4 linked regions of the Mus musculus genome follow. The protein of the gene in region 1 interacts with the protein of each later gene in a pairwise test. Links are inferred from orthologs where the notes say so. Each region holds a gene or a part of one and is shown on either strand. Other genes may lie near its edges.

Evidence for each region.
Region 2: the proteins of Ushbp1 (region 1) and Ccdc120 interact in binary tests that used the Homo sapiens proteins (3 or more experiments, as listed by UniProt). The two-hybrid records come from large-scale screens. The link is inferred for Mus musculus from reciprocal best matches to the Homo sapiens genes USHBP1 and CCDC120.
Region 3: the proteins of Ushbp1 (region 1) and Parvg interact in binary tests that used the Homo sapiens proteins (3 or more experiments, as listed by UniProt). The two-hybrid records come from large-scale screens. The link is inferred for Mus musculus from reciprocal best matches to the Homo sapiens genes USHBP1 and PARVG.
Region 4: the proteins of Ushbp1 (region 1) and Sertad3 interact in binary tests that used the Homo sapiens proteins (3 or more experiments, as listed by UniProt). The two-hybrid records come from large-scale screens. The link is inferred for Mus musculus from reciprocal best matches to the Homo sapiens genes USHBP1 and SERTAD3.

The regions. Positions count from the first base shown.
Region 1 is NC_000074.6:71,387,865-71,393,567, forward strand, and holds part of Ushbp1 (Usher syndrome type-1C protein-binding protein 1), read right to left. Parts: intron 4,652-5,703; coding exon 4,526-4,651; intron 3,191-4,525; coding exon 3,057-3,190; intron 2,918-3,056; coding exon 2,777-2,917; intron 2,322-2,776; coding exon 2,157-2,321; intron 1,142-2,156; coding exon 892-1,141; intron 1-891.
Region 2 is NC_000086.7:7,737,136-7,743,436, forward strand, and holds the start of Ccdc120 (coiled-coil domain-containing protein 120), read right to left. Parts: upstream 4,190-6,301; 5' UTR 4,077-4,189; intron 1,389-4,076; 5' UTR 1,235-1,388; intron 1,118-1,234; 5' UTR 1,076-1,117; coding exon 1,027-1,075; intron 893-1,026; coding exon 759-892; intron 305-758; coding exon 164-304; intron 1-163. UniProt on the Homo sapiens protein: Centriolar protein required for centriole subdistal appendage assembly and microtubule anchoring in interphase cells. Together with CCDC68, cooperate with subdistal appendage components ODF2, NIN and CEP170 for hierarchical subdistal appendage assembly.
Region 3 is NC_000081.6:84,322,538-84,328,908, reverse strand, and holds the start of Parvg (gamma-parvin), read right to left. Parts: upstream 4,190-6,371; 5' UTR 4,078-4,189; intron 2,791-4,077; exon of another isoform or gene 2,776-2,790; coding exon of another isoform or gene 2,634-2,775; intron 1,922-2,633; coding exon of another isoform or gene 1,905-1,921; coding exon 1,826-1,904; intron 615-1,825; coding exon 550-614; intron 148-549; exon of another isoform or gene 46-147; coding exon 1-45. UniProt on the Homo sapiens protein: Plays a role with ILK in promoting the cell adhesion and spreading of leukocytes.
Region 4 is NC_000073.6:27,471,836-27,478,028, reverse strand, and holds Sertad3 (SERTA domain-containing protein 3), read right to left. Parts: upstream 4,190-6,193; 5' UTR 4,158-4,189; intron 1,890-4,157; 5' UTR 1,887-1,889; coding exon 1,293-1,886; 3' UTR 665-1,292; downstream 1-664.

The DNA of each region.
Region 1 (5,703 bases):
ATATCTACATAGTGCAGTCCAGGCAGCCAGGGTTACAGAGAGCCTATATATGTGGGTTTGCAACATGAGTGCAGTGCTGGAAGAGGCCGGAGGAGTGCGACAGAGCCTCGGGAGCTGCCGTCACGTGGGTGCTGGCATCTGAACCTGGATCCTCTGCTAGAGCAGCCTGCCCACTTGAGTACTGCCCAGTTCTTGCATCTTTATTATACATGCTTGGGACCTGGTCTCACCGTGGAGCTCATGTTCCTCTTGTGCTCACTTGTGCTGGCAAAAGCTGCACTACTGAGCCACCCTGGCTGCAGCCCAACATCTGCCACAGGAGGAGAATGTTGGGAAAGCAGCTAATCTTGATTACCAACCTCACAGGATCTAAAATCTCTCCAACCCTGTGGATAATGCCTATGAGGGAGTATCTGAACTAGGCTAACATAGGTGAAGACACCCATATCCCCTAGGCTGTGGTGCTGGACTGAATAAGACACCCATATCCCCTGGGCTGTGGTGTTGGGCTGAATAAGAAGTGAGCTGAAGCATGCATCTCTCTTTGCTTCCTAACTACAGAGGCAATGTGATAGCCGCCTCAGGCTCTGGCAGTCATGACTTCCTGCCATGACAGACCACACCCTGGAACTGTCAGCCAAGCAGGAACAAACCTTCCTTCCTGAAATTGTTCCTGTCAGAGATTTATTTCATCATAGCAACCAAAGGGAACTTATAGAATCTTATGGAAAACCTAATCAGGAGGACAAACTCCTATGCAGTCCTCAAAACTTCACTTCCAGTTCTCCTTCATACAAGAAACCAGCTCCCCACCTAAGGGATACCCTGCTTGCCTCTGGGCTCCAATGACATCATCAAGGATTTGTCGTGACCATCTCAGCATGTTCCTACCCGAGTAGCTGCTAGGTCCTGCTGGATCTGAGACTTCTCCAGATGGGGCAAGGTGGGGCCAGGTTGTATCTCCAGAATGGCCTGCACTGTTGCTTCTGCATGGGGCATAGTGGCCTTGGGTGCAGTGACAGGGCCAAGTTCTTCGGGGATCTTCACCAGAGCCCAGCGTTCCCGGAGATGCTGGACATAGCCATGGAGCTGAGAGGCCAGTTCCTCTGGTGTAGGCTTGTCCACACCACTGCCCTCTGAGCTATAAGAGACAGGAGGTAGACCAGCTGTTCCCAACACATAGCTCTTAGGAACCACAGTTTTATGCCACCTAGGGCCTACCAAGAGCATCCATAGCACAACCTACACCCAGTGAACAATCTTCCAGTATTATAATATGGCAGGTACTGGGGCTCAGCCAGTAGAGTGATTGTAACTCAGTCCACAGAGCTTGCCTAGCATGCATGGGGTTCCATGCCTGGCACCATGTTAACATCCCAGCTCTCAGGAGATGGAGGCAGGAGTGTCAGGAATTCAATACCAGAGGTCGCCTTCAGTACGCTGCAAGGTGGTGAGCCTTGATAGTAGTAACTATGTCACTAGGGGAGTTTGAATTCACTTCTGAGGTGTGCCCAGCTCATGCTGGACACCAAGGCTGCATTGGCAGTGAAGACTCTCTGTGCAGAGACAAAACCAGGAGCTTACAGTCATTGCCATGGACACTCCTTAGAAGTGCATTGATAACCTTGCCAGGTTTACAGATTGCCTGTCATCAGTGCCACTTTCCTTTGGGGCTATGTGAAGCCCTGGCCACTTCCTGTACCCCTCCTCTTTACTTCCTGCCTGCTATGATGAATTGACACCTCTGAAGTCATGAGCCAAAACTTAACAATAACCTAATAAACTTAATAAACGTCACTGATTTTTTTTAAACCCAGTTTTAGAGACTAAAACCAGGGTCCACGGCACTTGATGCTTTGCGAATGTGTGTATTTGGTGTTGTATTTATTTCAAACAGAATCACACTGTGTGGGCTAGCCTGGAACTACTCTAACTCTGTCTCCTGAGTACTAAGATCAAAGACAATTAGCGTACCTGGTGCCACTGAGTAACCTACTCCAGTCAGACCTTGTGTCAGCCAAACATGGTTAGACAGCTCAGAGCCAATGCTGGGCAGTGTCCAATGCCCCTGACACCAAAGCCCTTTGTACAGCAGTCTCTGGGACATGCCCCAGTCACTCTCATAGACCAGCAACTCTTGTGCCCCCTATAGGTACCTGGGCTGGGGTGTCTCTACCTCCATGGTTGCTTCCTTCTTCATCAGCAGCCTAGAGGCCTCCTTCTCAGCAGCCTGCAGGTCACCCTTGGTAGTTCCAACTCCAGTTCCTAGGCCAGCCATCTTCAGAGCTAGCAGCACCTCATACACCTCCTCACAGTCCTCACTGTGGGATAGGATCTAAATGTTTCAGTACTCAGCCCCAACCCAGGCAGAGGCAGGCAGATCTCTGTGAGTTCCAGGCCAGTCTGGGCTACACAGTGAGACCCTGTCTCAAATAATATACAACAATCCACAAAAGACACCTCCCACCACTTGTTCTTTTATTTATTTATTTATTTATTTATTTTTGGTTTTCGAGACAGGGTTTCTCTGTGTAGCCCTGGCTGTCCTGGAACTAACTCTGTGGACCAGGCTGACCTCGAACTCAGAAATCTGCCTGTCTCTGCCTTCCAAGTGCTGGGATTAAAGGCATGCGCCACCACTCATTCTTTATGGGTCAGAGTAACATGTCATGGTGAGGCAATGCACCCTCTGAAGGTTGTGTGTCCCTCTGTACCATCCTGGCATGCAACACCATGCCACCCTCAGCCACCACCATCACTGGGAGCAGGCACGCACCTATACTGCAGAGCCAGGCGCAGGGCTGTGGCCTCGGCTTCCCGCTTGGCCAGCTTAATGCTGAGGCTCTCACAACGGCCCTTGTAGCCCTGGAGCACAGCCAGAAGAAGACGGTTGAAGCACTTCAACTTCTCAATGCTCCTGCCTCCAAAGGTGGGCAACAGGGAAGGTGAGTGAGGCTCCAATCACCCAGGGCTGGTTTTCCCCCCTCCCCACCACAACCCAGTGGCAAGAGTAATGGTATCTTTAAAAGCTCAGCAGCTGTAACTCAGCTGCTCACCCCTGGAGCTGCCCCATCTGGTCTTCCATGAGGTACGTCTCTGGGGCTGGATGCTGTGTGGAAAGGCACCCAAAGCTCTGGGTGCTGGAGTCACTCCGGAGGCGTTGGAGAAAGGGGTGAGCCATGGAAGAGTCCTGCCAGGAAGACATGACTTGATTTACCTGACATCAAAGCCCCAGAGGTGTTTTTCTCCCCCTTTTTTTTTGCAGGGCTGGGGGTGGAACCAGGGCCTTGGATCATGTTACCCATCTGTTTCACCACTAAGGTACAGCTGCATCTTTGCTTTGGGGAGTGTTGGTATACATATGTGGGATGTATGCGTGCGTGCGTGCGTGCGTGCGCACCATGGTATGTGAATGGGTGTCAGGGGATAGCACACTGGAGTCAGTTCTCTCTTTTTACTTTGTGGGATCCAGGGGGTTGAGTGCTCCAAAAAGCTGAAGCATCTCACCAATGATTTTATTTTTTCTTACTAGTCACGTCTCCGCTTCTTAAGTGGTTAGAATGACTAGGGGGTGACTGCTTTGAGCTACCAAACTGGTGATTTAAGCTTTTTTTCTTTTAATCTTCTGTGTATGGGTGTTTGCCTGTGTATGTGCATGCCTGGTGCCTGTGGAGCCCTGAAGAAGGCATCAGATCTCCTGGAATGAAGAGTTGCAGATGATTGTGAGCTGCCATGTGGGTACAGAGAACTGAACCTGAGTACTCTATGAGAACAGCTAGCACCCCTAACCATCGAGCCATGTTTCCAAGTCCTGTTTAGTTCTTTCAGATACTACAGGTTGTATGGACAGTTTCCTCCCAGATAGAGACATTCCATCCTGCAGATTTGCTCCTGAAGCAGGAAGGTAAACAACTCTAGTTTCAGAAAGTCTGAGAAACTAAACAGATGGACTAGGCCCCTCCCTGCCAGAGTAAGGAAAGTCCCTCTGAGATGAGAGAACAAACAAGTGTGCAAAGAAGACCTTGAGACCAGACCAGCTGTCTGAAGAAGGGTGAGACCAGAGTCACTAAGAAGGAACAATCTCCAACCTGCAGGCTTTGTAGTGAGCTCTATGTCCCCAGCTTTTGTGAGTTATCACTCACGCTATCATTCACACTGTCACTCATGCTGTCACGCTGTCACTCAGGCTTTGGTGATGCAGCTGTCTTTGAATCATTCTGCCCATCAACCTATATGTAACTACAATCCTATATGTACCCATATTCATACCCATAATATATAGCCTTAGTCCTATTTGTAACCCCAATAAAACTCATTGGTTCACCAAATTGGACATTGGTGGTGTCCATATTTTGATGTGCCACAGGCTCCCCATCTGTGGTCAGTTGATGTGTGTAGTGTTTCCCCAGGAAAACTTTTTGTCACACAATATTATGGCATCCCATAAAGCACAAACTGACGGTTACCACTCACACTGGGAATGCTGGGAACATCATGACTTGGACTCAGAAGACTTTAGGCTTACCTGAGGTACCCAGGGTCTCCTTTCTGCCCCAGAAGTACTGGAGTTGCTGTTTCTACGCCCTGCTCTGAGGATGGGGGTAGGTGGGGAGGCCTCCATCTGCATCAGGGAATCCTCCAGCTCCTGTACCTGCCAGTGATAGGGGATCAGGCCATGGCTTCACATATTCAACCAATTCTCTACAGCAACAGCAGCCCCGTCAATGTGGCCTGGAACGGTCCCCAGCTGCCACAGAGGCCTAACTAGGGGAGTGTAGCTACTGGCAAGGTGATGGGGGACACAGGACGATCACCACGTTTTTTATATTTTTAAGATTAATTTTTTTATTTATATACATTGGCATTTTCCCTGCATGTGTGTCTGTGTGAGGGTGTCAGGTCCCTTAGAACTAGAGTCAGTTGTGAGATGCCACTTGGATTCTTTGAATCAAACCTGGGTCTTCTGGAAGAGCAGCCAGTGCTCTTAACTGCTGAGACAACTCTCCAGCCCTCTCCACTTTATTCCTTTCTAAATTTTTAGTCATTTATACCTCCCCAACTGAAGCCACCCCCCACTTCAGCCTCCCAAGTAGTTGAGATTTCAAGTGTGCCCACTACATTCAGGAGAATTCATTTTTGTTGTTGTGAGAAGTCTCTGAAAGCTGTGCTAAGCCACGCCCCTAGCCCCTCATTGGAGGATTCTAGGCTGTCACTCTACCCCCCCCAGTCACGCCCACAGCCCTGACTGGAGGATTCTGTATCCCTACTTGTCCTAGTTTTGTTTTGAGACATTTGCCTATCTCGTCAAAGCTAGTGTTAAACTGTGATCCTCTCATCTGAGCCTCTGAAGTCCTTATCATTACAGGCTTGTCCCACCATATCTGGGTTTAACATCACCCATAATCTGTAGGTTTCTGGTCACCTCCACTAAACGCCCCGGGCCACTTCACCCCTCCTCCACCTTCAGGATTATGGTCCACCGCCAGACTGTTCCGCTCACAGTCATCAGATGGCACAAGTGAACGCCTGCAGCAGGTCAGTTCCCCTCAGAATCCACCACACACCAGAGCACACTAGCTTTCAACACCCTGCATACTGTGGCCTTCCCCCACGCGCCTTCATCTCTCCCACTCTGTTCCAGCCACAGTGATCTCAGGATCTGTGGTGGTTCGTGTGAACTTGACATCAACTGGAATCATTTTG
Region 2 (6,301 bases), on another chromosome or scaffold:
CAGGGGACAGGATGAGGGGCTTGTCTGGATAGACTTGGGTTCCCATAGTGCATGGGGAAATCCACCTATTCAAATCCTTGCCCTCCTCTCTGCTTCTTCTCCTCCTGGCCCTAACCGCCATTGTGCCCTGGCTTGTCCCCGCCCCTCACCAGCATCAGCTCACCTCAGCAGGACACAAGGAGTGGTGTGCTGGGTTTGGGTGTGGTGGAGGGTAGGCACGTGCTGCAGGGGGCCTCCGGCGGACCAACTGAGGTCGTTCACCAGGCTCCAGTGGGCACTCAGGGGGCAGCTGACCAGTTAGCTCCTGGAAGGAATGTGGCCAGAGACTCTGAGAGTTAGAGGGATGACATTAAGTAATAAGGGTAAGAAACTAGCCCTCCCAAGGAGCTTGGCCCTGCTCAATACTCCACATGTATTAGATCGCCACCTCTCAAGGTCTCTAGCACCCGGGGTAGGGCGTATAGTTCTCCAGCGGGCCAAGTCTCTGGGTCACTGAGCATAGGAATCTTGGAAATCGGGAGGCCCGTGTTCTTAGTTTTCACAATTATAAAAGCCCAGTCCCTATGATGCACTACAGGGGCTGCATTTTCGGAATCCAATTAAAGTGACCTCTAAGTCAAACTTTGAGGAACCACAATGTACCAAAAACTACTAAATGCCGAGACAAGAGGTTGGGCACCCATCACTGCAGTATGCCTGCCTAGGTCGCCTGGCTCCTCACCCCCTCCTGCATGACAGCCCTGGGGCCAGGCCCTCACCGCCTCCTGCAGACACACTTTCCTGAGCTCTTGAAGTTTTACGCTCAGGGCCTCTTGCAAGGCTCGCTGGCGGTCAAGCAGCCCTCGAAGACGGTCTGACTTCACCAGTGGGGCAGCCTCTCCAAACAGGGCAGCTGCAGAGGAAGCAAAGGTAAGGACAGATAGGACATCCTGGAACAACTGCAGGTCCAGGGGCCAACCCCTCCCAAGCAGGCACAGGGAGACTGGGGCAGGGGGAGGGCAGTAGTAAGTGGAAGCAGCCACTGACCTGGGGCCGTGAAGGTAGGAGAACTGATCAGCTGACCTTTGACTTCCATCCTTGCACCGCTTGGACCTTGTGGCTGATGGCTGGATAAAGCCTGGCAGTAACACAGCACAAGAGGCGCTGAGGAAGATAATGCCATAGAACCCCTAGGCCATCCCCACTCCCCTTGCATCAGCTGAAAATATAAAGTACCCAGGTCCCACCTGCCTACCTGGCCTTTCCTCTCAGATTCTGTGTCAATGTCTGGACCCGCTTGGCCTGGTACCTTGGTTCCCTTCCCATTGAGTGCTAACACAGTAAGTGGGAAGCTGGGCAGACTTACAACACCTCCTCAGAGGCCCATAGGCCACAGCCAGGAGTCTCACCTAGGGAGAGAATTAACAGTAGAGTCAACTAGGTGTAACAACAGTAAGCACTTTCGCAGCCTTGGGTGCCTGGAACAGCTACCTGCTATATTACAATGAATCTTTCAAACCCCTCAGGCAGGAGGTCCATCATTATTAACTTTCCTTTTGAGATGAGGGGTGGAAAGCACACAGAAGTGAAATAATTCCCCAGTAAAGGGCAGAGCCTAGGACCACCCCTCTCACGGAACAGCTCCAACCCTAATAATGTCCTCTTGAGTGCCTCGACCCATCCATCCAGCTTTAGGGCCTTTGCCCAGGCTGTGGCCACAGCCTAGGGTGCTGTTTCCAGCCTCTTACCACTTGATTTTTATTTCTCGCTTATCATTTTGGGGCTGTTTTTGTTTTGACATAAGGTCTCGCTCTTGTAGCATCAGCCTGAAAGTCACTGTGTAACCCACACTGGTCTTGAACTCATGGCAATCCTCCCTTAGCCTCCCACATGCTAGGAATCTAGAGACAGGCACTACCACACCCAGCTCATTCTAAGGCTTAAATGTCCTTTTCCGAGGTGGCCCCTGAGTGATGTCTTCTCACAGCTACTGTTGAAAAAGACACTGCCCCTCCCTGTATTGTCATTTTGACAGGAAGCACGTCTGCCCCAGCGTATCATAGCCCCGGCACCTCAAGCACGGCTGCACACAGCAAGCAGTCCACAAACGGATGCCAGCGGGGTGAATAACTGCAAGGTAGCCAAGCCAGGCATCAGGGGTGGCTCTGCATCTATCTTCCTAATTCCATCCTGCTGCCCCACGACCTCAGGCTCCCTCCAGCCCCTCTTCCCTCCCACCCTGTTCTGAGACTAGCATACAGAAGTTACCCTGCTGAGAAGGGCGAGAAGCGCCATCCACAGCCACAGAAAACACATTACCTGCCCCTCTTTTTGTCCCGGGAAGCACTGGCTGATCATGGAGCACGCGTTGGCGAGCTGCCAGCCCTTCTTGTGCTTTTCTGGAGTTTGCTCCCTCCCTCCCACATCCTGCTCAGTCCCCAGCTGGGCAAGCAGGTGACATCACCTCCCACCACCTGTCCTAGCCTCTAAGGCAGGTGACTAGGAAGGCCTATCAGAGACAGCAGAGTTCTCGTTTTAACACCCCCCCCCCCCGACCCCTTGAAATCCACAGCTTGTCATGATGTGGTAGAGCAGACCCAGAAAACCAAGAACGCCAAGGAGAAGCCCCTTCCCCATTTTCACACTATAGGGTGTGCTCAGACTGTCTACAAGGTACCCCCGCCCCCCAGTTTTCTCTACAGTCTTCTGCTTGTCCCACAGAGTCTGTATCCCTCCCTCAAAGGACTCATGGACTATCCTCCACTGCAATGGTTAGGCAATCCCATAAGCCTTTTGTACAGAAAGTTTGTACACTGCAGGGGGTCTCACAAGCCCACCCATCTGAGGTCCAGCACTTTCGGCATGGTAGGGTGTCTTTAGTGTCCCACCTCAGCCTCCTCGGTCCCTCAGCCCCCGAAACTTCTACTTTCCCAGGACCCATTTTAATTCGGAAAACTTTCACAAGGCTTGCCTGAACCCTTCTCCACCCCAACAGAAAGCTAACTCCTCCCACCTTGGGTCCATTTACCCGTTCACCAACATTGTCTCATGTTTCACATCAGAGGGCCTCCGTCCTTCCTTCTTTAGAAAATTAGAGTATCCCGGAGTCGACACAGGGTCCAGTCAGGAACCCCGACTCCACCCCATCAGTCTGACCTCAGGGACATAGTTATGGCATGAGTCATTGGGTCACTAGGCAGGCTAGACATGGATCAACGCCCCACACCTCCATACCTGACTCAGGAACCTTTGCTTCTACTCTTCCATGTTCTGTACACTTGGAACTTCAGACTGCCTGACATCAGACAGAGATAGTAAGAAGGCAATCTACCACATTCCAGCATCACTACCATGCCCTCATATGAACCTCTGAGACCCTCCTGCCCACACCAGAGCTTTGCCTTGTCATTCTGTGGTCCTGTTACGGGCTTAGGTTGCAGCAAGCGAGCTACAGAGGGCACATGCGGGGAAACACACACACACAGAGGCAGGCCCAGCAGGTTTTTCAGGTCTGCCCTTCTGACACCACGGCTGAGAAAAATTCCTGGCTGTAATGACTGTTTACAACCAAGATACTTCACCTGGGTGGCACTCCAACACTGTCAATGAGAGCCCCATTTCCACATCCTGCCACCACTTGAGCAAATGCACACAGAGTCTGGACCTGATCCCCATTGCTCCCCCAAACATACAGCACACCCCCTTCAATTACTCTGGCTGAACAAACAAACAGAGGGACAAGCAGATACAGATGCCTGAACAACAGTGGTATCTAATCGGTTCAGCTCGTCTTCTCTGAGGCACTAGTCCTGATAAAAAGGGGGAGAGGGGCCGAGAAGAGAAGGCTGAGTCTCTGCCCCGTCCTTCCTCCTCCATTTTCCAACCAAGAATTATTTTGATATCAAGAAAGGAAAATGGACACGTGAGGCTTTGCCCTGGTCCCCTGATCCTCCCATACTGAACACCACCCCTCCTATCGCTACCCTATATTCTCAGGGTCCTCCTTCCTCAGATCTGGATCTCTAGAAGGGAACTTCCTCAGTTCCTGTGCCATTACCCTATCTCACGGCCCTGCCCCATTGCTCGCTGGTACTCACCAATGCCCTAGTGCTGGATGGCAGCCTCAAATATTTCCAAAAGAACAGTTGTCTCGTCCAGGCCCTAGCTTTCCTGGCAGTACAAGTGAACAGCAGTGACTGCTGTCTTGGCTACCTCCCACTAGGTAAAGGCCCAACCTACCTGGACAGGATGGGGTTGGCCCACACCTTTTAACCCTTACCTGCCCGCTTCCAGGGCTAGGGTCACCCCTGGGAAGGCAGTCTGGGGGACCAGGTGCCTCGGGGAGCCCAATATGGTCAAGGAGAAAGCATAGAATGCTTTCCTCACTGCGGATATCTAAGAGATAACTGGCCAATAAGCTCTAAGAATTGTGGGAGGAGCCACTGCCCAAATCCCCAGGCCACTGGAGCCTGCCTACACCCCGGGACATGGGGGCTAGGAAACTGTGAAATAGACAAACAGACATAGACATGGACACACACACACACACACACACACACACATATCTTGGATCAATTTCTCCCATAATTAGGATGATGATTTTCTAAGCTGCAGAGAGAAGTTGACCTTTCTAAGGAGAGACCAGATCTTAAGACACTCCCACCTTCTGTACTCCAGGAACAAATAAACCTAGGAAACACCATCATCTATACCCTACAACCTGAGGGGCGGCACAGAGCCAGCCTCCGCTGAGCTCTGAGCCATGGTAGAAATGGGAGGCCTGACTGAGAACATACTAATGTAAAGGCACAGGAAAGAGCCAGCTGGGGTGGGACACACCTTCCTTTAATCCCAGCACTCAGGAGGCAGAGGCAGGCAGCTCTGAGTTCGAGACCAGCCTGGTCTACAGAACTAGTTCCAGGACAGCCAGGGCTACACAGAAACAAACAAACAAAGAAACAAAAACAACCATAAGAAGGAGCAGAACCAGAGTACTAGACTGGGCCCTGCGCTAGAGGAGCCACTGGCTACTCCTGAAAGGAGAAAGAATACGAAGACTCAACTTTATCCATGTTCTCCCTGTTAACATTTCTAGCCTGGAGCGAAGCAGACAGGGAAATAAATTGAAAACTCTAAGTCCCTCTAATGCCCTTCAACACAACCCTACCTGGGCCCTAAGCTTGTCTTGGGCACATACCAAACATGCTGTACTCCAGGTAAGACAATCTATTTTGTGACCTCAGAACCCAAACCTAACCCCTATAGCAGCCGCTGCCATGTATGAACAGGGAGGGTTTTAGGGGTGTTCCCTGTTGGGGAGGAGAGCCTAGAGAAGAGTTCCCCCAGTCACATGTTATCAAGGCCTGCTGCCCCAGGTGCCCACCTTTCTTCCGGGTTATGAAATGTATGTGTGGAACACAAAGGCCCTTTCCATCTCCTTCCTCCCTTCTCCCTCCTTTGGACTGCTAGTGGAGGCAAGGAGCAAGCTGACATCCTCTTGGCAGCCATGGACCCCTCCCCACCCCCCTTGCAGGAGGCCACCAAGCATGTTGGGAAATGGATTTTTTTTCTTAAGTTTTTGTTTTTCAAGACATGGTTTCTCTGTGGAACAGAGCCCTGGCTGTCCTGGACTTTTTTGTAGACGAGGTTGGCCTCAAACTAACAGAAATCTGCCTGCCTCTGCTTCCTGAGTGCTGGGATTAAAGGTGTGTACCACTACAGACAGCTGGGAAAATGGATGTTTATAACCAGGGACAAGAGAAATGAAAAATTAGGAAAATAATTCAGATAGAGCCTCAGAGTTTTGGTTACCTCATCTGTAAAATGGACAAAATAGACAACAGGGTCCACAAGAACATATAACTCACACCAAATCATTAATGGCCAATCATAAGAACAAGATATTTGGAATTAGAGAGGTGGTTCAATATTTAAAGGGTGTATGTGTGTGTGTATAACATGTATAATATACAGTATGTCTAATATTACATATTAGACATATAATATATAATATATAATATACATGTATCATATACTATATATCATATATTATATAATATATAATATACATATATATAATATATACATACATGTGTATATTATATATAATATACATACACACATACATATACACTGTTCCTCCGGAAGACCTGAGTTCGATTTGAGCATCCATATAGTAGCTCACAACCTCCTATAAATCCAATTCCAGGGAAATTCAACATCTCTCAGGTACCTGTGCACATGCACCACACACACACACACACACACACACACACACACGGTTAAAAATTACACCTATGAAAAATTTTAAGATTTCACTTAC
Region 3 (6,371 bases), on another chromosome or scaffold:
GATGTGCTCCGGGAGGAGTGTGGTGTTGATCCATTCCATCAGCACCTGCTGGTCACCAGGGACAGCTGACGGGATCAGGAATCACCTGGCCAGGTCAGCAACTCCTACCCACTCTTCAAGGTCTAGTCGAGTTCCAGAAAGTTCTCCCTAGTCATTCAGAACTTGCTCTGAGCTCGCAAAGATCTTCCCCACCTCAAGATCTCCCAGACACCTGCCTGAGCCCGCAAGCCAGGAGCTATCATCCTGGTATGTGAGGTTTCCGTACCTGGGAGTTGCCATTGCTGTAGCAAACATCTAAACCTGGAGACATGGCTAGGGAATTGGGTGATGACAAGAGCTGCCAATGGGCACTTGGTTACAAGGCCTAGTTTGCCTCCAAGAGAGAGCTATAGAAACAGAGGTTTCCAGAGGAAAGAAGGGGTATGTTCTTGGCATAGAAAAGAGAACTGTTGGGATAGGGTGTGGACAGGGGTGTTGTGTCTATAACAACACCAAGGGGCACCAAGCCTGGCTCCAGAGACTTCAGGACTGGGGATGGTGGTGGCGTACCTTCTGCAGTTCTTCAAACTTGGGGTTCCTCTTGGAATTGGGTGACAGATATTTCTTCTTTCCTCCTGGAAGCAGAGGTGGGTATGACATGTGTGAGAACCCTGAGGGCCCTTGGCAGCTATCTCCCTTCAGGTCACCCACTGATCCCAGGCTCCTGGTAGAGCCTCGTTCTGCCTGTCATTCATATTTCCTCATGAGCACTTCACACTGGAGGTACACATGTAAACTCAGAAATCACCCCTTACTCTGAAGGTCATGAGTCAAATGTGTAGCATCTTTTAGAAGCCCTGCCTACCTGCCTAGGGTAAAAAACAACCCAAGAGAGCAAGGGGCATGCCAGGCGGAGGTAGGCATCACCTATGCTGCTAAGCACCTCTGGCCAGAGTGGATCACTGGGGCCCCTCTGTGCCCCCTTTGGCTTGGCCATTCCCTTCCCTGAGACCTTGGTCAGCAGGGTCTCCACATTTTAAATTTGTAAAACCAAGAAAGCATCAGCCCCAGAGGGGCTTTTGTGGGTCAACTGATCTCAATGAACATTGAAGAAACTGAGTCAGGGAATGGACTGACTTGCCCAAGCTCATAAAATGTAACCTGCTATGTGACCTACTAGACGCTTGATCTCCCAAAACCTGGAGTATACCCACTCCTGGTGGGAGAAGACATAGAGCACTGCAGTCATGTGCTGGCCTGGGGTCAGCTCCTGATGACACGAGTGAGCTAGTGAGTGAATATGGAGGGATGGAGGGAAGGAAAAAAGGAGGGAGGGATAAATGTGTGGATGGGTGTGTGGATGAAGGGATGGGTGATTCATGGATGAGTGAGTGGACAAGATGAATAGAGAATGGAAGGTGGATGGATGGATTGGTGGATGGATGATGGATGGAGAGTGGATGAATAGGTGGATGGATGGATAGATGAATGGATGGTGGATGAATGGATAGTAGATGGATGATGGATGGATGATGGCTGGTGAGTGAATGGATGGATGGATGGTGGATGGATGAATGGATGGTGGATGGGTGGGTGGATGGATGAATATATGGATGAAGAATGGATGGAAGGATGAATGGATGGATGGATGGATGGATGGATAAATGGATGGATGAATGAATGGGTAGATGGATGGAAGGATCATGGATGGATGGATGGATGGGTGGATGGATACATGGATGGATACATGAGTGGTCACCAGATACAACCTGTCTTGTTCTAGTTAGCTGGTCACACATTATCCCCCTCCCCTGATCCAACAACTCTGTCCCACTAGGACCAGGACCTCGTGGAAGCTCTTCCTCCGTGGGCTGAGCTACCTCCTTTGGGAGCTGCAACAGGTCATAGAGGAACTCTAACTCCATCTTCTTCCTTGCCTTCCCTGGAAGAGACAGGAGAGTGCATTACTGTCTCTAAGGCCAAGGCTCACCATGTGTTCATTCTTTCATTCAGACTGGGAGAGATGGATGGAGGACGGGAGTCCGACACTGAGTGGGCAAGACACTGAGGGCCAAGTGTGAGGAATGAAGCCTGGTGTGAGACACCTGAAGTCAACCAAACCTTGCAGGGGCAGACAAGTTACCAGGCTGGCTGTGGTGATTTATCCTGATTTTTGCCTTGGCAGGATCTAGACTCACCTGATAGGCAAAGCTCTGGGCATGCCTAGATTCCCTCAGTGTAAGAAGGAAAGTGCTGTCCCATGGGCTGATCTTGGGCTGAATGAAACTGAAGAGAACAAACTGAGAAACCTCATTTGTCTCTCCTCTTTCCGATGCAGCTTGGCCAGTGGCCTCCTGCTCCCTCTGAAGGGGCTGTGCTTTCAAAGTGGAAGCTAAAGAAAACCTCCCTTTCTTAAGTTCCTTTTGTCAAGATATTTTCTCACGACAAGGAAGGTTAAAAACGCACAGGCTGAGGGCACAGCCTGGGCAAAAGCTTGGGAAGCAAGCAAGTTCCCTGCCAGCCAGGCACATGGAAGCCTGGCCAGGAACCTCAACCCTCTCTCTACATCCAGGTCAGCACCCCAGTTTCCACAGAGCATCAGACAAGTGTGGGAAGGGAGCTCTGGGTTAATCTGTATGAGGGTAAGCACCCACCAGTGGGGTGAAGTGGCCGTCCATCCATCCCTTCAGGGTCCCTGAATCCAAGACAGGTAAAAAACAGACCAGACTCTCCCAGATGTAGATGGGGTGGACCAGGCTGAAGGCCAAAGCCACCCAGACGTGTTCCCCAATCCATGTTAGCTTGCCTCACAGAGGGAGGCTGGCCCATCCAGCCTCCAGTTTTGAATGAGTCTTTCGCCAATTGGCTCCGCACCCCCAGACTTGGGGTGTGGTCTGTCAGGGCTTTTGCTCACGAAGCCCAGAGCTCGTGCTCCTTGTGAAAGACCAGCAGTCCCTCCTCGTCCTCGTGATGGGCCTGAGACCAGCAGTGTGTCGTGTCTTCCCCGCCCCCGCCCCAGCCTCACAATGCAATGCGCAGTGTCAGGCCTGAGACTGAGACCAGCAGTCCCATCCCACCCCACCTTCCCATCCCCCACAGCCAGCTTCGTGATGAGCACTGTCAGGCCTGCCCGTACCCAGCAAGGATCAGATTCAGAAGCTAATGGCCCCCTTCTGGTTCCCTAACCTACTTCTGGTTCTTCCGCCCACACTTCCCCTCTGGAAGTTTCATTTGCCGCATGGCCACCTTTGACTCTTCCCTTATGTCCCTCGTTCAGCCTCTGCACGAGCCTGGGATTCCCAGGCTCACTGGGATACTGGAGGTCTGGGGTCAAACTGGAAGGAAATTCACAACAAGGAACCTGAGAGTTGTGCTGAAGAAGAGGCACTGGGGGGGGGGGGGGGGCGGTGCTGAGAGCCACCATCCTCAAACTGGCTACAGCCTGGGAACCTTGGGAAACTGAGTCCTACCCTGAAGCCAGGAGCAAAAGGCCAGAGCCCCCTGGGAATGAGTTCCAAACCCCACAAACTGAGCAAGAGAAAAGAGAGTTGGGCTGGGGTGGGGAGCCTGGGCCCCAGCCAGCTCCTCCTACTCAGACTGGGTGACTATAGGCCAGCACGCTCTCTCTTTGACTCTGATGCAACTCTACAGGGAGAAGCTAGACCCTGTGTCCAGCCAAGTACACATAGACCTGAAACTGCCTCTGGTGACCGGTCCCAGGTGGGTTCCTTCCCTGCCCCAAACAGCAGTTTCTTCATGGTGGGGAACTCGGCTTTCTCTCATGCGGTAAAGCTCTGAGTGGCTCTGGTCTGAAAACTGCTCATCTGGCTGTGGGGGAGGTAGTCAGAGCTTTCCTGTGGGGACGGGTCTCACAGATCCTCAGTAAAATGATGCAATGGCCTCAGCAACGTGGCTGGATGTGGGGCTCCCCTTTGGCAGATCCCCCTGACTGTGAGCTCCCAGCTGAGATGTGCCTCTGGGTTTCTATTCAAGGAACCTCTCCACCTTCCTCTCTGAGGTCCACTACCCGGACATGTGAACAGGTAGAAGATTCTAATAGCTCAGGGACCCCACAGGCCAAAGATTAGATGCACTCACCCGCTGCTTCTTTTCAAATCAGGAAATGGAGCCCACTAGCTTAGAGGGTGACCAGGTTCCCAACGCAGACAGGTTCCGGAGGTGGAAGGCAGGGCTTCTGTTCACTTCCTCTGCCACCCCGGTGGCTGCAGACAGCTTCCTCCTCTAAGTTGCTGATGAGCGAGGTACCCTAAATCCACTGAAAGACTGCCAGAACCCCTGCCCCTAGTCTTCCAAGACTCCATGGCATCACGGGGTCTCTCATACTTCCCTCCCTGCCCCCGCCTCTCCATCAATCCAGACAATCACTGTCTGAAACATAACAGCAAGGATAGGACCCCAACAGCAAACTGTGTTCTCCACTGCCTTTTTCTCATGGTGCCCAGCCTGCACCTCTGCCTCCCTCTGAGCGGCCCTCCAACCAAGCTTGCTTGCTCCAACCAAGCTTGCTTGCTTTCTCACTTGCTGATGGACTAACTTCAAGACAGTCTCATGTAGCTCAGACTGACCTCAAAGTCACCAAGCTGAGGTGGTCCTTCAACTCCTGATTCTCCTGCCTCCATCTCTTACATATCTGAGTTACAGGCAGGAGCCACTACACCCAGCCAAAGGCTCCTAAATAAAGCCAGTCTCCAGGTCTCAGCCCGAGTCTCTGCACCCACAAGCTACTTTCCCCAGCTTCCCCAGCCCTCCCATCCTCTCCCTATAAACCGCACAACACCTGCCTGTTCTCTGCCAGTGCCTCAGGCTTTTACTTTGATGTCACAATGCCTGTCCCCATGTCTTGTAAGCTCTGCTCAACTCTTCACATGGCTCACAACTCCTTCTTGGCATGAGCTTTGGTACCTCCTCCTATAGGAAGTCTTCCACAACATCCTTTTCTTTTACAATGGTCTTGGGCTTGCAGCCATGCTAAAACTATCCTTTTTTTTCCTTTTCTTCGAGACAGGGTTTCTCTGTGTAGCCCTGGCTGTCCTGGAACTCACTTTGTAGACCAGGCTAGCCTCGAACTCAGAAATCTGCCTGCCTCTGCCTCCCGAGTGCTGGGATTAAAGGCGTGCGCCATCACACCCGGTGTGCAGCCATGCTAGATCAGCTGATGACATGGGCTGGTGCCTGATAGCTGTCTCACCATCAAACCAGGAGCTCTACAGGTTGGAACCCATCTTTCCCACTCACTACTAAAAGTCAGTGCCTACAATAGCACCAGGCACAAAATGGGATCAATGAGCATATTTTGATGGCTGTTATTGCTTAAAGGACTGTGTTGGTCCTATGACAAAATGCCTGATGGAGGCTGGAAATAGAGCTCAATTGATAGAGTGTCTGTCTAGCATGCAGGAAGCCCCGAGTTCAATCCCCGGCACCTCATAAACTAGGCATGGGAGAGGACATGTGTGATCCAGCTCTCAGAAGCTGGAGGCAGGAGGATCAGAAGTTCAAGGCCGGCCTAGACTTCAAGAGTACATGAGACACTCTCTTTAAAAAAGAAAAAGAAAATCCCCCTGGCATTGGGCAAAGAGACACCTTGTTGTTGGTGCTGTTCTTATATCAGTCAGGGGCAGAGCAGATGGCAGTCCTTAGTGCACCCTAGCTTGATACCTGGCTTGGTGACCACAGCTGTTTTATGCCTAGGACATATAAATCAAATCAAATCAAATCAAATCGAATCAAATCAAACCAAATCCAGGCAGCACAGCATGGGAGAAGGAAGACAGAGACCTGCATTCCACCATTCCACCCCGACATGACTTCTGCCCCACAGCATGGGTGGGCCATAGACACCCAGAGCCTGCCTACCACCGTGGAGCCCAGTGTGTGAGGGAGAAGACAGAGACCTGCAGAACCATGCTGCCCACAGACCAGCTCCAGGGCACATGGCACAAGCAGACTGTAGAGACCATCTTGCTACCATGCCACGAAGTATGGATGGACGATGTCACCCAGGGGCTGGCCATCCACATGGCCAGTCTTCAGCGGGAGCCAACACAATGGAGGGGGCACAGGTGGGCCAGCCCTGAGAGTGAGAGCTCCGGAGAGCTGGCCCTGCCATTCATCTGCCTTGAAGTGGTGGTTGGCATTCCTTCTAGGCTCTGCCCCACAGTTACCTGGCATCAGCTAGGTGTGCCTGAGTCACTATAAAAGGTAAACCCTCCTTCCTCCCTCTCTTCTCTTACCGTCTTTCCCCTCTGTCCCCATTCCATTCCCTTCCCCCTCTCCCCCATGTGCTCATGGCCAGTCTCTCTCTCTCTCTCTCTCTCTCTCTCTCTCTCTCTCTCTCTCTCTCTCTCCCTCCCTCTCTCTCTCTCTCTCCC
Region 4 (6,193 bases), on another chromosome or scaffold:
GTGAATCTTACTCCTATTGTTCCTTTCCTCTCTGTCTCTAAACTTCAGGCTTCAAAACGCTATTGTAGCAAGGTGTTGGTGTGCATCATTTGGGAGGCAGAGGCAATTGGATCTCAGTGAGTTTAAGGACAGTTGGTACTACACTGTGAGACCGTTTCAAACAAAACAAACAGTTGTTTTTGCAGATGGGGTTCAACCCCAGGACATATACTAAGCAAGACTTCAACTATGTACTCTAAGCCCTTAAATTTGAGATTTCCCCTATGCAAATGTAGAATTTGACACAGTATATGTTTCTTTCTAATCCTGAGGATTAAAGGGTTTAATTTGCATAAAGTGGTTCTGACAGTATCCTTAAGCAACCAGCAACTGTTACACTTTATACAATATTACACTTGCTCTACTTTTGTTTGTTTTTGTGTTTTTGAGACAGGGTTTCTCTGTGCAGTCCTGGCTGTCCTGGAACTCACTCTGTAGACCAGGCTGGCCTGGAACTCAGAAATCCAACTGCCTCTGCCTCCCAAGTGCCTGGATTAAAGGCATGCGCCACCACCGCCCGGCTGCTCTACTTTTGTTAAGGAAAGGATGTTAAGTATTGGAGAAACTTAGCAGGCTCTTCCCCAGATCACCCCAGAGATGTTTACAGATTTAATTACAATTCCAATATTTCCAAAATGCTTTTATTAGAAAAAAACAAAAACAAAAAAACAAGAACAACAACAACAACAACAAATTTCACTCAAAAAATCCCCCCAAACCAACCAACCAACCAACCAACCAACAAACATACGCCTCTGCAAACCCTACCTCCTCTTTCCTCTTAAGTAGCACAGCATGGAGCTGGTAGACTTCTGCCCTATTGCACATGGTCCGGCCTGGTTATGAATCAGGAGGCTGCTGGTACTGGGGTCCTGCCAAGAGGTTGAGTCTGTCCGGAGACCAGCCCCTCCATCACCCCTTGACAGGTCCAGTTTTATCTTCCCTGAGACCCTAGTGGTCATAAGGACAGTGGGAACTGGAGGCAGAAGAAATGTGTAAGCGAGGAATCTAGACTCCCTGAAATAGAGTCTCCTTAAGGCATTCGGAAGAGATAAATTAATTGAGGAAGACGCACCTTCACGGAAGGCTGTGGCAACCAGACACGCACACATGCAGGACAGTTTGTGGAATCCTGACATAGGAGGAAAGGAGGCCACACAGTCTCTGTCTAGCGCCTCCGCCACGCACACATACAAGAGTCCCATCTAAGGCCCAGCGCACTGAGGCTGACGCCCGGAAGAATCCCATCAGCTTTAGGATCCCAGGATGATTTCCATGATGTGGTCCAGTTCATTCCACTCCCAGGATCCTGGGCTACAGAAGAGGCTGTGCGGCGGCTCCGGGGGTGGAAGTGCAACGTCCTTTTCCACCGCAGATGTATCAATGTCCAGAAAGAAGTCATCCAGGCCAGAGTCTCCCAGGTACCTTGAGCTCAGAGCTTCTAAGAATACAGGATCAGCCTGGGACACGATCTCATTCTGGGGACTCGAGGAAGCTGCTGGATTCAGAGGCGGCTCCATCTCATCCATGGATGTATCTAGCTCCCTGAGGATGGAACCGATGGTGGTAGATAGGGAGAAATCTTCTTCACCTAGGAAGAGAGGTTCCGGGGGCAGGGCTGGTGCTGGAGCGAGGCGAATGGCAGCCTGGAGCTGCTGGAGTGTGTTGTGGATAAGGACGTGCCTGCGGAGGCTGGGTGCTCTGGGGCCCAGGCTGCGCTGGACTTTGTCCAGAGAGATTCGGAGCAGGGCTTGCTGGTAGCTCCGAAGAGCTGTTGGACTCCAGTCCCACTTCTCCTCTTCCTCCTCCTCTTCCAAATCAGAATGTTTCCTCTTTAAGCCTCCCATGTCCTGTGAAAAAAGAGTGGAGTCAGATACCTTGGGACCTTACTTCTTCAAGCAAGCCTGTGTAGCTATGGGAAGCTTTTGTGTGTGTGTGTGTGTGTGTGTGTATGTGTGTGTGTATCAGAACCTCCATTTAAAGTGCACAGAGAATCCCACAAGGCTAAGAATGGGTAAATTAATGCATGCAATGTGATTGAGAGAACAAGATGCAGATAGGATTGCTGGGACTGGTAAGTGAGTGTGAGGAGGGGTGCACAGGACACAGAGTGGGAGCAGGTAGTAGTGAGGGTGGAGAGACTCCTGTAGCTGTCACCTCCTCTGTATTAAGGAGGCAGTGAGTTCAGATGTTCAAGGTCACCCTCAGCTAGGCAGTGTCTCAAAAATAAAAGGAGCTGGAAAAATTGCTGAGTGGTTACGAGCACTGTCTGTTCTTCTAGAGGATCCAAGTTCGATCCCCAGAACCTGCATGGATGGCTCAGGACTGCCTAAAACTCCACTTTTAGAGGATCCATGGCTTCTTCTGGCCTCCTTTGCCACCAGGCACACAAGTAGTGCCCAGACAAGCATGCAGGCAAAACATCCATACACATAAAATTTAAAATAGGAAAATGAACAGAAAAAAAAATTGCAGATGGTGTCCTATGCCATTAATTTCAGCACCCATCCAGGAGGCAGAAGCAGGTAGAGTTTAATATGGTCAGACAAACCTGTCTCAGAAAAACAAAAAAGCCCTAAAACAAATCACCAAAACATCCGGGCATGGCTTGAGTATCACTTGTCTGTGGTAGGCACAACGTTGAATTTACATTATGGTAATCAATTTTAACATTTGGAAAGTGAAAATCCTAACTCTGGTCTCAATAGATCTTGTTATTGTTTTCCCACAATACTTTTTTCCTAACAGGTCACAGGACAAACAGGTATGGAGCACAGAGTAATGGACCAAACCCAAACTTGAGACAGGGTTTCTCTGTATTGCTCTGGAACTCCCTATGTGGATCAGGCTGTGTCTCGAACTCATATCGTACCGCCTCTTCCTCCCTGAAGGCTGGGATTAAATGTGTGTGAGACGAGGCTTAGCTGGGACGTGTGTGTTTAAATTCTTTTTTTTTTCTCCTTTTTTAACAAGAATATTTCTGTCCGTACCTGCTTCCTACAATTGAGTCTATGACCTCTCAAAAGAGAGGGAGTATTTCCCAAACTCCGACCCAAAGGAAAGCCAGCTAGAGCGAAACTAACCACAAACTGCACCCTCTAGCGACCAGTCCAACCCAATCATCTCTTTTTATAGGCACCACCCTTCCCTGGGTCGCTAGACCAGACCCAAGAACACCTCAATGTATCCTCAGGGCCTTCTGGGAACTGTGGACCCAAAGGCTCCAGGCAGAGCTTCGGCTGTCGCGTTGGAACTACAATCCCCAGAAGGCCCAGCACACCCAAGAGACTGGACACGCCCGCCCTCTCTGAGAGCATGCGTACGGGAGCTCCGGCTGGTGGGGGAAGGGAACCCGGACTTCAGCTGCCCAGCGGCCGCCGAGCCCCGCCCTCTACTGCCTTCGGGGCGGTGAATCCGAGCTCCACGCCCCGAGCGCCCCTCCCCCACCAGGCTTCAGTCAGAAACCTGTTTTCTCTGGGTCCCTATCACCCCAGGAAGTTCTGGATTCTTCCCCAAACTGTCCTCGGTGTGCAGAGGTCCAAATCCCATCACATCGCCCAAAGACGACAAATAACTCTCGGGTACATAGTTCCGCCGGCGAAACTGGATATCCCAATTCTGAGACCTCGTCCCAAATCTCCCCTCATTCGGCTCCACTTTCAAATGACTCTGGCTTTCCAAATACCCAGTCCGGCTCCGAGACCCAGTCAGTGAACTCTTCCCCGGCATTCCCTTCTCACGACGGCGTCTCAGAATCCAATACTCGGTTCCTCTAGTTCCCGGGTTCCTCTAAATGCTTCATATCCTAGCCTTAAAACGCTCACTTTGTCCAGAACACCGTGGAACTCCAAACTCAGCCTATTCTTCGAGACTCAAACTGTCCTACACTCTCCTCCAAAGTTCTTTCTCCGTTTTCCTGGCTTCTCCAAACTCCAACTCCTGAGTAATCCTGCTCCCCCTTCGGTGCTGATGCTGGAATTCAGCCTTCCACCCTCCAATGTCCATCAATCACACCAATCTGCTCTCCACTCGGGATACCCCGCTTCCGCCTACCGTGGGGGCGCGCCCCCGTCCTCCTCTAACTCCAGGGAAATCTCACACAGGCGGCCACTCCTCACCTCGGCTGCCAGGGTCGCCACGACTACCTCCGACAAGCCTGCAGGGTTGGGTTCCACCAGTGCTGGGTAGAAGTCCGGCTCACTTTCCCCGGGCCTCTGGGTCTGGCTGGGGGCCACTCGGCTCCTCCCCGGAGGCCAGTCGCAAGCCAGGATTGGTTGGAATCCTGCCCGCCGCGGGGCGCCATTGGCTAAGAGGAGCCACGGATGCTAGGCCCCGTCCATCACTGGGCCGGGTCCGGTTTAGGTTGGCTACTGGTCAGGGGGCGGAGCGGAGTCTCCACGGTGGAGTCTGGTAACGCCGTCAGAACTGCTACTTTGGACCCAGCTGTGTTTCTCACTCCTCTGTTTCACTGCAGACCCCTTATACCAGACCCCACTGAAGAGTGACACCGGGTGACACCATTCTCCCCTCCCTGCGGTTTTGCAGGCTTGGGGCAGATGGTGGAGGCCACGCCCCCCGGAGTTCCGAAGGCTGGGTCAAACCGGAGGGCGGGGGGGGGGATGACGCACTAGACAGCAGCCAATAGCATGATGCGGCTTGCGTTGCCTGAACGACCGCAGCCCCGCCCCTTAGCTGGCGGAGCTCTGCTTCCCCACCCCCAACCCGTCTTGTAGGAGGAGTCTATGCTTAACCTAGAGGGGTCTGCTGCTTGTTTGGGGGAACCTCCTGGATCCCAGGCAACGCTTTCGTTTTCCGCATTTGTCTGCCTGTTGCTGTTTACTCTTAAAGACTGCTCACAACTCTGGGAACAAACTCAAACTTATTATTATTATTATTATTTTTAGTTTTGGGGATTTAACATTTGAGCATTTTGAACAAACACCGTAGAACTGAGCTAAGATTTAAAATTTTGTGTGTGTGTGTGTGTGTGTGTTTAATTTTGTGATATGGTTTCGTAGTGAAGGGTTAGCTTGCTCTTCACTATTTGGTCTCTGGTACCCTCCTTCCTGTTTTCTAGGACTCACTTTCGGATTCTTTTTGTTTTAGGCAGTCTCGTGAAGCAGGACTCCAGTGTAGACAAGGGCCTTGAAATTCTAATCATGCTTGGCTTCCATATTGCTAGTCCTGGAGCTGCAGGTGTGTCCCTAAAGAAAATTCCTTTTGCTTAGTTTTTGTGGTGTTGGGCACGGAACACCGAGGTGGTGCTAGCCAAAGTACTCTTATCACTGAGCTACATCCCCAGCCACTTTTTTGTTTGTTTTCTGAGACAGCGTTTTGCTGTGTAGCCTAAGCTATTCTGGAATCTTTCATCTTCCTGCTTCGTTTTTCTAGTGCTAGGATTTAGGCATTACCAGCTTGTCTAGCTTGCTTTCAGTTTTTCTAAGATGGCTTCCAATATCTCCTAAGAAATAAACACAGGGCTTTTCTCCCTTACCTTATTGCAAGGGTCCAATTCAAGGCACACTCTCAGCAGTGAGACAGCCAGACTCTCAAATGTTCTTCAGATGTTCTTGGTTTTGCTTTGTTTAGTTGTTTGTTTTTAATGCCTTTTTTTCTTTTCTTTTCTTTTCTTTTTTTTTTTTTTGAGACAGTTTCTTTGTGTAACTCTGGTTGTCCTGGAACTTACTCTCTAGACCAGGCTGGCCTTTGTCCCACAAATGTTGGGATTAAAGGCGCGGAGCCACCATTCTCTTGGTTTTGCTTTTTTTTTTTTTTTTTAATTTATTTTACACGTGTGAGTGTTTTGCCTGTATGTATGTATGTATGTATGTATGTATGTATGTGCACCATATACATACCTGGTGTCTACAAAAGTCAGAGGCATCAGATCTCCCGGGAGAGTTACTGACAGTTGTGAGCCACCACGTAGGTGCTGTGAATCAAACCTGGGTCCTCACTGAACCCTCTCTCCAACTCTTTGTTTTGCTTTCAAGTTGAGGTCTCATGTAGCCCAGGTTGGCCAGGAACTTATTTATTTAAAAAAATAGAACGTATTTATTTTGGGTTTATGTGTACCGTGACATGCATGTTGAGGTCAGGTGACAATTTGAGAGAGTCCTTCCAGCCCATGGGAGGCAGGGATGCAACATCAGGC